3 linked regions of the Sus scrofa genome follow. The protein of the gene in region 1 interacts with the protein of each later gene in a pairwise test. Links are inferred from orthologs where the notes say so. Each region holds a gene or a part of one and is shown on either strand. Other genes may lie near its edges.

Evidence for each region.
Region 2: the proteins of FSD2 (region 1) and SPATC1L interact in binary tests that used the Homo sapiens proteins (3 or more experiments, as listed by UniProt). The two-hybrid records come from large-scale screens. The link is inferred for Sus scrofa from reciprocal best matches to the Homo sapiens genes FSD2 and SPATC1L.
Region 3: the proteins of FSD2 (region 1) and ESD interact in binary tests that used the Homo sapiens proteins (3 or more experiments, as listed by UniProt). The two-hybrid records come from large-scale screens. The link is inferred for Sus scrofa from reciprocal best matches to the Homo sapiens genes FSD2 and ESD.

What each region holds. Positions count from the first base shown.
Region 1 is NC_010449.5:52,191,597-52,195,254, forward strand, and holds the end of FSD2 (fibronectin type III and SPRY domain-containing protein 2), read left to right. Parts: intron 1-1,600; coding exon 1,601-1,853; 3' UTR 1,854-2,543; downstream 2,544-3,658.
Region 2 is NW_018085356.1:561,819-566,390, forward strand, and holds part of SPATC1L (speriolin-like protein), read left to right. Parts: intron 1-3,468; coding exon 3,469-3,822; intron 3,823-4,572.
Region 3 is NC_010453.5:20,661,922-20,666,493, forward strand, and holds part of ESD (S-formylglutathione hydrolase), read left to right. Parts: intron 1-1,673; coding exon 1,674-1,793; intron 1,794-2,469; coding exon 2,470-2,568; intron 2,569-4,572.

The sequences.
Region 1 (3,658 bases):
TGCCATGAGCCTCCATCATGATTACGTGTTCTCATGCCCCAGCAAAGGCGAGAAGACCAACTTTCTCCCTGTGAGATATTCAGCCCATGAGGGACTCTGCTAAACCTCAGACTCAGTTTGGGGAATGCAAGAAATACTACACACTGAGCCACAGACCGCTTTAGGAGATTCTGCCTGAAGTTAGACTAAAAATCAAAGTCTCCTCTCCTAGAAAGGTTAAGAACAGGGGCAGACAAAATCTGGAGGAGCAAAAAGAAAGAGCAGGGGTCTGTGTGGAGTGGGAGGGCTCGGTTACAAGACAGAAAAGGGGTGGGAACACCACATATAGAGTGAAAAAAGAAGGGCAAAAATCTGAGCCCTAGAGCTGTTAATAGTCCCACCTTGGAAAGATGTCTCTATGAGCGTGTCTTAATAGGGAGGAATTTTGGGGTCATAGTCTTAGACTCTACTGGTGGGAGGAAAAGTAGAGGGAAGGACTCATTCAGCTTCTTTTTTTTTTTTTTTTTGTCTTTTTGCCATTTCTAGGGCCGCTCCCGCGGCATATGGAGGTTCCCAGGCTAGGGGTCGAATCGGAACTGTAGCCTCCGGCCTACGCCAGAACCACAGCAACATGGGATCCGAGCTGCGTCTGCAACCTACACCACAGCTCACGGCAACACCGGATCCTTAACCCACTGAGCAAGGGCAGGGACCGAACTCACAACCTCATGGTTCCTAGTCGGATTCGTTAACCACTGCGCCACGACGGGAACTCCTCATTCAGCTTCTGGTGGCTGCTCAGTTAAGAAAAAATAAGGTGAAATGGGATGGAAACAGGCTGGCTGGCTCTGATACATTTGCATCATATTCTAAGTGTCCATCCCAGTCACATGGACCAGCGTGCCGGCACACAGAGCTCTGCAAATGTCTGTAGGTAGCAGAGTTAGGAAATTCCTACGGTTGGCTTTGATTTCAGCCATTTTCAAAGCACACAGGAGAAGCAACCACCCTTCATGGTGGGAACCTCCCCAGCATGAGGGGAGTGGTGATGAGCCCCGAGGTGCCCGGTTCAGTTTGAAAGTTTTAAGAAAAGGATGCCTTAGAGTATGTGTGCACAGGCTCAGTGCACGAAAGATCCTAAGATTCTCTGTTTCACATGTCTTTGTTACAAGGGATTTACATATTTGAACCTTGAAATTCAAATTTTTTAATGTATTATTTCTATGGAGATTCGGATGCAGTATGAGTTTATTATATTGAATGTAAGTTTCTTAGGTTAAGCAGTTGCTCAAAAACAGGTTTAAGGAGTTTGCTTGTGGTGCAGCGGATTAAGGATCTGGTGTTATCACTGCAGTGGCACAGGTTGTTGCTATGACACGGGTTCAATCCCTGGCCCAGGACCTTCCATGTGCTGCGAGCATGTTCAAAAAAAAAAAAAAAAGTTTTAAAAAATAAGTTTCTTAGGGCATGTTTTAGAAAAGAGATACATAGTTTTAGAAATGGGCTGTTACTTTGATAGTCATTTAATAAAAGAAAATTATAGTTATATTTGAAAAATGAAATGTTCTATAAATAGCCCATTCACAGAATTTCTGAAGCTTTATCAACATTTAATCTTCAGGCATAAATACGAATTTCTACACAACAAGACGACTCCAGACATAAGAATAACGGTTTCCCCAAAGAAGATTGGCATCCTATTAGACTATGAAAATTCAAAACTGTCATTTTTCAACGTGGGCCTTTCTCAGCATCTGTACACATTCAGTTGTCAGCTTCACCAATTCGTGCATCCCTGTTTTTCTCTGGAAAAGCCTGGATGTCTAAAGATACACAATGGCATTTCAATGCCAAAGCATGTCACTTTCTATTAGACCACATTCTGATGCCGAGCATCCTCTCTTCGGTACCTACTCCTCTCCCAGCCACTCACGCCTCAGCTGGCTGAATTGGGCATCCAAGCCCCGTGCACTAGCATCATTTATGGCTCATGTCATTATCTGGCGGACTGGTGTGCTGACATTCACCGCACCTGACCTGGGTCTTGTGCGCTGCCACTTGTGTGATGCTAGATTAGTCAGTTCCAGGCCCTAATGTAAAATGAAGGCTCAGACTTTCAGGTGGTCAAACTGTATTGGTCTATTTGTGTACATGCAAAGTACCTGAGTCTCCAAGGCCTGTGGAGCTTGGGAGAGGAGGAAAGAGAGACGGAAGAGTTAGTGGTTTTAGTCCACTGGTGACATTTCATTAGTCAGCCAAGAACAGACCTGAGACCGCAAGAGGCCACCCACAAAGAGAACCAGGGAAGCCACGTGGCCTTGCCTTCTCCTGTTTTGCTAGTGTTAGTGGCACTCCAGTGAGGTTTCTCCCACTGAACACTGAACACTCTTTCTAACAACTGTTCTTCCCCTTCATAGTACTCACCCCTCTAATTTTGAAATGATCTTTGTAATGCCTAATTCCATGAAGGCAGGACAGTGTCTGTCTTGTTCGTCACTCAACCACCAATGGCTAACACGTGCACACCAAATATTTGTTGAATAAAAGAGCATCTTCTTCAAAAAGCACAGTTCTTCGGCCTCTCATTGCTCTCCATGTGAGGAATGGCAGGGCTTACTCAAACTATAGCAAAAGACTTACCACCAAGAGATGGAAAAACCTGGAGAGGAGGGAGTATAAAGGAAGAGACGGGCACCTGTGGCTTGATGGCAAGATTGGGAAAAAAACTGCAACACTACGCACTACATGCTTCCTAGTGTCACACAGCAGCTCATACATAAATAATAATAAATGAGTGCTGCTTTCATTATGTGTGTGTTGGGGCAGGGGGTGGAGGGATAGGTCTGGAAAAAAATAGAAAACATTAGTTTCGACTGATTCTAGGTACTGTTTTATAATGTACAGAGAACCAGATTTGCAATCAGAAGACTTGAGTTTGCTACTTTGCAGCTACTTTGCCTTATGACCCTAGAAAAATCACATTATCTCCCTTGGCTTCTGGTTCCCTTTAAACAATAGAAAAATACTTGTCTTAACAGGATGGGAAATTTAATGACAAACACGAGACTGCGTGACATATAGCAAATGCATAACAATCTTTTAAGAGAAAACATCAGCCCACCAAGTGCAGAGCTGAGTCCTGGCGGGAGAGGTGGTCTCCAGCCCATGGCTTTTGGGCATCCTGCCTCACTCCTCTTGTGCCAATTTGTGACCTCACTGCCCAGCCCAACAGCTACCTTTCTGGTACTGGGTTCAAGTTTCCGGTTGCCACTTACAGTTCTGCACACACAGCATTTTCAAGCTTATGGGTCAAGATGCAGAGGAAGTGACTCCAATTATGAAGCAATTCTCAGATAATTTAGTGTCATGCCCCACGGATGTGTCTCTAAACATATGTGCCCCTGATCTCATCACTTGAGATTCTGTGTTATCAGAGAAACTTCACTCGAAACCTTTCAGTTTCCTAGTACATTCGAGTCTGACACAACAAACACCTTATCTCCTACCCAAAACAGCCTGCTGGTATACACAGAAGTTCAGAGTCTTGAATTCACAACTCAACCTGACAGTCTTGAAGCTCATTGCACACACATACACCCCTCTGCCCTCCCAACATGGATCACTACCCTGAAATAAGGAAGGTACAACCAATGTAACACAGAGATGGTTCAAATTACAA
Region 2 (4,572 bases), on another chromosome or scaffold:
CTGGGTGGACATCAGACGACTGGAAAGAGTTTCGAGTGGTCTCCGTGCCGCTGGGCCTGAACGTGGGGTAGAATTGTCACTGCGTCGTTACGTTTTAAATGCGTGGTATCCCCGAGCCTTTGAATTGGACCGCCGCTCAATGAACTGTCACCTTATGTTTGAAGTTGCCGCTCTGCCTTCTTACCCTGAGGTAAATGGCCCAGCAAGAGCCCTCTAGGAGCTCCCCTGTGGTGCAGTGGTGAAGGATGCAGCGTTGTCCCTGCATCAGGGGCTCAGGTCGCTGCTCTGGTGCAGGTTTGGTCACAGGCCATGGGCTTGGCCAAAAAAAGAGAAGCAAACTTCGGATTTAGGGTTATTTCCTTAGAGTATGTTTTCCTAAAAGCAGGATCACTGGCTCAGACGGGAGGCTAATTTTTTCACGTTTCTTTTTCTTACATTTACCCAGAGCATGACTTGTCTACTGCATTTGTATTAAGTCGTATTAAGCTATTTTGGCGTGGTTTCTTCACATCTCCTCAGCTGTTTCTCACAAATAAATCTTTCGCATTGTGTGCTTGTCCCTGGAGCACCCTCGGTGACTTGTGAGTAGAGATGGGGTTTCTTTGCCACTGTGTTTTCAGTTATCGGTGTTGCAATACTTTGGAAAGCTGTTGATTTGTAATTATTTATCCTATAGCCAGCTGTTTTCTTCTGCCAAGTTTTCCAGTTCGTTCTCTGTTCTAGGTCTGTAGTTGCTCTGTTTACAAACGATCATTTTAAAGGAGATTGGCAGCTCATATACTTGTTGCTTCTGTCTTTGTCTTTATTCCTCAGGCGTTCCCTGGTGGCTCAGTGAGTTAAGGATATGGCATTGTCACTGCAGTGGCTCGGGTGGATCCTGTGGCACGGGTTTGATCCTGGCCTGGGCACTTCCTGTAGGCGGTGAACAGGGCCGGCCCTGTCTGTCCAGGATGGGGGCATATGCAGGCCGGATGCTGGGGAAGTCTCTTTTCAGTCCTTAGTTTTAAAGAACCAAACAATTGAAAAACGGCCCATTTGTTCAATATTTATGACCTCATTTCGGCACTGGTGGAAGTGCCCTCCACTGCTCCCCACAGCTCATCCGTGGGGTCTTACTAGGGTGCAAGATGCCACAGGTCTGGGGCTTGAGCGGTGTCTGTTGTGGCGTCTGGATGGGGCTTTGCTCAGGATCCCTGGACTGTCTTCCTACACGAATCTGGGCTCCAGTTTCCTCTCTGTGGGGTGTATTTAAAGGGACTTCATATCAGAGTTGTGACAAATTTATAAGCTTAATACTCAGGCGTCCTAATTTTTGCAGTGTTCCAGCCTCATTAGCTGACGTAGGAATTATGAATTGTTTGGGAACTTGAAAGATCTTACCTGCTCACAACCCACGTCTACAGTCCTTTGGAGCAGAATTATTCTATGACTTCTGGGTTTTTCTTGTTTGTTCATTGGTCCATTTAGTTTTTCTACTTCTTATTGAGTCATTTAAAAATAATTTCCAATCTCTCCTTTTATTAACGTTTTCAATTAATATTCAATTGTAGGAGTTCCTGTCGTGGCGCAGTGGAAATGAATCTAACTACGAACCATGAGGTTGCGGGTTCCATCCCTGGCCGCACTCAGTGGGTTAAGGATCTGGCGTTGCTGTGACTGTGGTGTAGGCCACAGACACGGCTCGGATCTGATGTTGCTGTGGCTGTAGGCTGGCAGCTGTGGCTCTGATTGGACCCCTAGCCTGGGAACCTCCATATGCCGCAGGTGTGGCCCTAAAAAGCAAAAAACAAAACAAGTATATATATTCAACTGTATATAATATTTCTATAATTTAAATATTATCTTCCTAGTCATTCTGATAACACTTTTCTCATTTCCGATTGTATTCCTTTATGTTTTCTATGTCTCTGAGGTAGCTTTCCACAGTTTTCCTATTTTATTGGACTTGCCGTAGAGCTGTTTCAAGTTTATCTCTGCTGTTATTTTTATGATTTTCGAACTTTTGCTTTCTTTAAGAGTTCATTCTCGGAGTTCCCGCTGTGGCTCAGTGGTAACCAACCCAACTAGTGTCCATGAGGATGCGGGTCTGATCCCCCGGCCTCGCTCAGTGGGTTAAGGAGCAGGCATGGCCACGAGTTGTGGCGTAGGCCACAGACCTGGCTCAGATCTGGATTTGCTGTGTAGGCTGGCAGCTTCAGCTCGACCCCTGGCTCAGGGAACTTCCATATGCCGCGGTCTCAGCCATAAAAAGGAAAAAAAAAGGAAAAAGAAAAGAAAGGACTTCATAAATCACAAAAGAATTGATAAGTTAAAGTTTTTATTTTAATAATTTATTAAATTATATTACAATTTAATTAAATTACATTAATTTTTTTTTTGTCTTTTCTAGGGCCACTCAAATGGCATATGGAGGTTCCCAGGCTAGGGGTCGAGTTGGAGCTGTAGCCACCGGCCTACGCCAGAGCCACAGCAACGCGGGATCCGAGCCGCGTCTGCGACCTACACCACAGCTCACGGCAACGCCGGATCGTTAACCCACTGAGCAAGGCCAGGGATCGAACCCGCAACCTCATGGTTCCTAGTGGGATACGTTAACCACTGCGCCACGACCGGAACTCCGAATTATATTAAAATTTTTTAAAATTCTGCCTGACAAGAGTTGCCATAAAAAGGTTAAAATATAAGCAAGGAACCCACTGGGAGAGGACAACACGTTTTAACGAGAAATTAACATGTAGGCTACCAAAGCAACTGATGCCTGTCCCTTCCAAAGACTAGTCAACCGAGAAAATAAGCAAAGGACAGCGCCGCACAGAAAGCAGACCCCAGAGGCCAGCGTGGGAAAGGTGTTCAGCTTCACGGGGTTTAGGGGAAAGCCGTGCGTGTCCTCAGCTGGTCTGCCCACACCAAGCGTTGCTGAACGGCTGGTGGTCGTGGAGAAAGCCGAGACAGTTCAACAGCCCGCGCCCGAGTCCGGGTGTAGACGCGGAGGGTACTTGCGCGGCGCAAGAAGGCGTCGGAGGGCTGCGGCTCACGGCTTGGCGTTTGCAGGGCAACCTGGAGGCAGCCCCACGCGCAGCCGTGGGTGGTGGGTAGAAAGGTCTGTGTGTGTGTGTGTGTGCGCGCGCGCGCGCGCACACACGTGTGCCAGGCAGCGGTTGCGTGAACCAGCGAGCGACCAAAGGACTCACTCGCCGTGGAGAAATCTCGAAACGCGATCACGCTGCAGCGAAAAGGTCTGTTTCCGAGTCAGGCGGAGGTCGGATGAGCCGCAGCAGAGCTTGGGCGGCGCGCGAAGGCCGCCGCGGGCTGCGGGGCGTGTGCGGGCGCCGGCGGGGGGCGGCTGCCTGGGGCCGCGCCGCCCGCGGCCGCCTCGCCCGCCTCCGTCGTCGCGGCGCGAGCAGGAGGCCCCCCAGCTCCCGGGTGTTGGAGGCGCGTCAGCCTGACCCCCTTTCCTCCCTGTCGCAGGGCCGGACTTCGGACGGTTCCCCGGCGTCCCGGAGGCGCCCTCGCAGCTGCAGGCCTCCTCCCTGGAGGACCTGCTGTGCTCGCACGGCCCGCTCTCCGGCGAGGACGACGCCTCCCCGGGCTGCGCCGCCGCCGCCGCCCAGGCGCCCTTCAAGGCCTTCCTCAGCGCCCCCGAGCTGCGCGCGCCCCGCGCCTCCGACGGGAAGCCGTCCCCGCTGCTGAGCCCCCTGCACGACCCGCTGGCGGACAAGACCCTGCTGGAGCCCAGGGAGGTGGGCCGGCCCAAGAAGGTGTGCTTCTCGGAGTGCAGCCTGCCCTCGGGGGACAGGACCCGGAGGAGCTACTACCTGAACGGTAGGGGGCGCCTGCTGCGGGCGCTGGGAGGGTGGTCCCGCCGCGCCGCCTCCGCCCTCCGCCCTCCGCCCCGCGGGAGGAGCCGGGGCCTGCGGGGCCGGGGGGCGGCGTCTGCCCAAGTCTTGGGACCATTTAAAAACAAATAAGTTCCGGGCGTTCCCATCGTGGCGCAGTGGTTAAGGAATCCCGCTAGGAACCATGAGGGTGCGGGTTCTATCCCTGGCCTTGCGCCGTGGGTTAAGGATCCAGCGTTGCTGTGGCTGTGGCGTAGGCCGGTGGCTGCAGCTCCGATTCGACCCCTAGCCTGGGAACCTCCATATGCCGCGAGAGCGGCCCTAGAAAAGGAAAGAAAAAAAAAAGAGTTCTTTGTATATTCTGGATAGAAGCCCTTTGGGGGTATGTTTTGCAAACATGGTCTCCCGGTCTGGCTTTTCCATTTTCACAACGTGTCTTTTGAAGAGCAAAGCTATTTAATTTGACGACGTCCCATTTATTAATTTTTTTCTTTTCTGTAAGTTCAGGCTTTTTTGTATCCTCCTTAAGAAATCTTGACAAACTGAAGTCACAAAGGTTCTCTCCTACGTTTGTTTGGAAGTCGAGTAGTTTTTGGTTTTACATTTGGTTTCTGATCAAATTCAAGTTAATTTTCGTGCATGGTATGAGGTTGGCCTTAGGTAGGCATTTGTTCCAGCCCCAGTGTTTTAAAAGATTATCCTTTTCCCACTGAGTGACCTTGTCGTGTTTGTCAAG
Region 3 (4,572 bases), on another chromosome or scaffold:
ATTGCTAAAAGTTTGATTTTAGACACAAGGTCCTTCTAGTCCCAAGAATTTTAAATTAATATATGGTATTATTGAATCTATTTGGTATATGTTTATTATCTTAGTAAAAATTCCAAAGTTTAAAGAGTTGAATTATTATTTTGATGCCTGTATACACTACCCATATTATACAGAGAAAATAGTACATGAAAAAGCTTTGTATTTCTTTTTATTTTTTCTATTATAGCTGATTTACAATGTTCTGTCATTTTCTGCTGTACAGCAAAGTGACCCAGTCGTACATATAGTCTTTTTCTCACATTATCTTCCATCATGTTCCATAAAACTTTGCATTTCTTTGACAGCAGGTTCATTCAGATGTATTTCAAAGTGATTAACCGTAATCAGGATAAATGATAATGCTTCTATTAATAATAGTTGTGTGCAGTTTATGCATTTTCTAAATTTTATATGACTTTAACTGTTAATGTGCACCTCATAAAAACTCAGAAACAATAATATAAAATTTGAATCACCCGTAATTCTGTCACTTCAAACAAGAATTACATTTTGGTATATTTCAAGCTTTTTGTTATGACTAGTTTTCATGTAATTATAAAACATTTTTTTATCTCGTTCTTTTTAGTTGTGTAAAATAAATGTTTGTTAATATTCTCTATTTGTAACATAATTTTAATAATTGGGTAGTATTCTGTCATACGACATGAATACTTTTTCCTAACAGAGGCTATATTTATGTATGTATTATTTACCATAAAATGTGTTACTGCATTTGATTATCTTTGAATATAATTTTTCCCCATAAAGACTTTTCCCTTAGAATAGACTCCAGGAAGTGAAATTACTAGATCAAAATTTAGAACACTTTAAAGTTTCTTTCCACATTATCTTCTTTTTTGTTTGTTTGTTTTTTTTTTTGTTGTTGTTGTTGTTGTTGTTGCTATTTCTTGGGCCGCTCAAGCAGCATATGGAGGTTCCCAGACTAGGGGTTGAATCGGAGCTGTAGCCACCAGCCTACGCCAGAGCCACAGCAACGCGGGATCCGAGCCGCGTCTGCAACCTACACCACAGCTCACGGCAACGCCGGATCGTTAACCCACCGAGCAAGGGCAGGGACCGAACCCGCGACCTCATGGTTCCTAGTCGGATTCGTTAACCACTGCGCCACGACGGGAACTCCTCCCACATTATCTTCTTAAAGTTGCTTTCCAAGTTGGATGTGCCCTATAGTCTCCAGTAGTAATATTAATAATCATTGGCTGACTTTTTTTTTTTTTGTCTTTTTAGGGCCACACCCACAGCATATGGAGGTTCCCAGCATATGGAGGTTCCCCCAGGCTAGGGGTTGAATCAGAGCTGGAGCTGCCAGCCTACACCACAGCCACAGCAATGCCAAATCCGAGCCTTGTCTGAGACCTTCACCACAGCTCATGGCAGCACCAGATCCTCAACCCACTGACCGAGGCCAGGGATCGAACCTGTGTCCCCACAGATACTAGTCCAGTTCGTCACTGCTGAGCCATGACGGGAACTCCCTATCTGACATTTTTTAAAATCTTTGCAAGTGTAAACAACTCTAAGACTGTGATTTTCGAAGTATTGATTATTGTATGTAACTTTGAAAAAGTCTGAACTTATTTCTCTCCTATCTTTTGTCCAACTATTCTCTCTAGCTTCCCCAACTCATAAATGCCAATTTTCCAGTAGACCCCCAAAGGATGTCTATTTTCGGCCACTCCATGGGAGGCCATGGAGCTCTGATTTGTACTTTGAAGAATCCTGGAAAATACAAAGTAAGATGACCTAAACTTCTAATGACAGATGTTTCTCTTGCATAATATACTATTAGGAACTTTCAAAGATTGAAATTAAGATACTGTTGTTTTCGTTTTGAGATTAACTTTTCTGGTGTTGGGAATTTCAAGGGGTTGTGGGGGAAGAGTATTAAATCTGACCACACAGTATATGCTGCAAAATCAGAAGTATGGAACTTGTATCCCAGACGTTTCTCGTTGGTTTGCTAGTGGTATTAGAAAGCAGTTGTCATTGCTTCTATTCAAACTATAGTTTTCTAGATTTTTTTTCCTAGAAGTTATCCTTGATTAACATTATTTTGGCAGTATGTTATCATTTACTTATATTTTTATCAAGAATATTTTTGTAAAGTTAACTTTTTCAGTGGAAAAATGAGTAGAAACTCATAAACTTCCTTTTGTGCCTTTATAATGAAAATGTCATGCATTGCTTTACATTATTTTAGCACTTAGATTTTATTAGCCCTCTTAATAGAACACACAAAGGATGTGGTATCTGGAGAGGCGTTCAATCTAAGCCTGTAATACAGCAAAAGGAAAACTGTTCATAGGGATTTTCTCAGCAAGTCCGAGTTTTTAAGCGAGTTGCAGATATCTGTTCATATTTGATTTAGCAAAATATAACTTGTTTTTAAATTTATTTTTGTCTCTAAAGTCTGTGTCAGCATTTGCTCCAATTTGCAACCCAGTGCTCTGTCCTTGGGGCAAAAAAGCCTTTAGTGGATATTTGGGAACAGATGAAAGTAAATGGAAGGTAGGTACTGGATGACTGTCTTTTTTTTTTTTTTTTTTTTTTTGTTGTTGTTGATATTATTGCTATTTCTTGGGCCGCTCCAGCGGCATATGGAGGTTCCCAGGCTAGGGGTTGAATCGGAGCTGCAGCCACCGGCCTACGCCAGAGCCACAGCAACGTGGGATCCGAGCCGAGTCTGCAACCTACACCACAGCTCACGGCAACGCCAGATCGTTAACCCACTGAGCAAGGGCAGGGACCAAACCCGCAACCTCATGGTTCCTAGTCGGATTCGTTAACCACTGCGCCACGACGGGAACTCCTGGATGACTGTCTTAATACTCGTTCTTTTTTTTTTTTTGTAATGATTTTTATTTTTTCCATTATAGTTGGTTTACATTGTCCTGTCAATTTTCTACTGTACAGCAAAGTGACCCAGGCACACATACATATGTACATTGTTTTTCTCACATTATCCTCCATCACGTTCCATCATAAGTGACTAGATATAATTCCCAGTGCTATACAGCAGGATCTCATTGCTTATCCAAAGGCAATAGTTTGCATCTGTTAACCCCAAATTCCCGGTCTATCCCACTCCCTCCCCCTCGGCAACCACAAGCCTGTTCTCCAAGTCCATGAGTTTCTTTTCTGTAGAAAGGTTTATTTGTGCTGCATATTAGACTCCAGATATAAGTGGTATCATATGGTATTTATCTTTCTCTTTCTGACTTACTTAGTATGAGAGTCTCTAGTTCCATCCATGTTGCTGCAAATGGCATTATTTTGTTCTTTAATACTCATTCTTAAGTTTCCATAGTTGTTTCTTTTTAGGGCATACCCATGGCATATGGAGGTCCCAGGCAAGGGGTCAAATCGGAGCTACAGCTGCCAACCTACACCACAGCCACAGCAACTTGGGATCCAAGTTGAGTCTGCAACCTACACCACACCTCACAGCAATGCTGGATCCTTAACCCACTGAGTGAGGCCAGGGATGGAACCCTAATTCTCATTGATCCTAGTCAGGTTCGTTAACCACTGAGCCATGATGGGAACTCCTCATTCTTAAGTTTTCAAATTTGTTCAGTAGCTACACACTACAGACATCATATTCCTAACTTACTCAAGGATCCAGAGTGAGAAATAATTAGCAAAAGTGCATACATATAACAAAAACAATTAAGAATGGTTTTTTAATTGTATTGAATCGTGGCAGATATTCTGAGGCTACATTTTTTTTCTACTAATGATTAATTTATGTTTATTTTCCTAAATTAACATCCCCAAAATATCCCATATTTAAACTTACCTCTTATTAACATGTGCTTAATTGTATTATAAGAACCATAAGGCTTGGCTTTTCATTTTGTTTTATCTGTTTCAAAATCCAGCATCTCTCAGATTTGGATTTTAAATTCTAGACTTAAAAGCTTTTAAAAATAGATAATGTGTATATAATGTACATTTATGAGTATATTTCCAACAGCAAGATTACTATTTCAAGCACAGGAGCAGATGCTTCCAAATGAAAATTTTTTAATGGCTCTTTTTCCTGAGACTGATTTTACTCTTGTGCAGAAATGGGCTATTTGCAAACTCCACCAAGAGTTTGAATATTTTGCAAATGAATTCATCATCTTGTGCATATTAATAAGTAGAAAATACTTGAGTGGGGGTCTTATTTCTGTGGATTCAAAGTCATTTACCCATGGACCCCTATTTTATTTAAGATCGGTCCCTGAAATTCTGACACATTTGCAAGGTTAATCTTTTGGTCACTAGATTATTGTTTGGCTTAGGCTTAAATTTTTATTAGATGGGAAGAATGCTAGAAATTATTGCTGTTAATTACTTTGAGAACAGTGCATTGAGAATGTATGTGCATCGGTGTTTCGAGCCCTCACCACGTGCAGAGTCTGTGTAGCGTTTTAAGATCTTGTGTCATGAAGGTGATGACCCTTTACTGTCCACAGGGGTCTTATGGTCTAATAGAAGAGATGTACAGGAGTTCCCGTCGTGGCG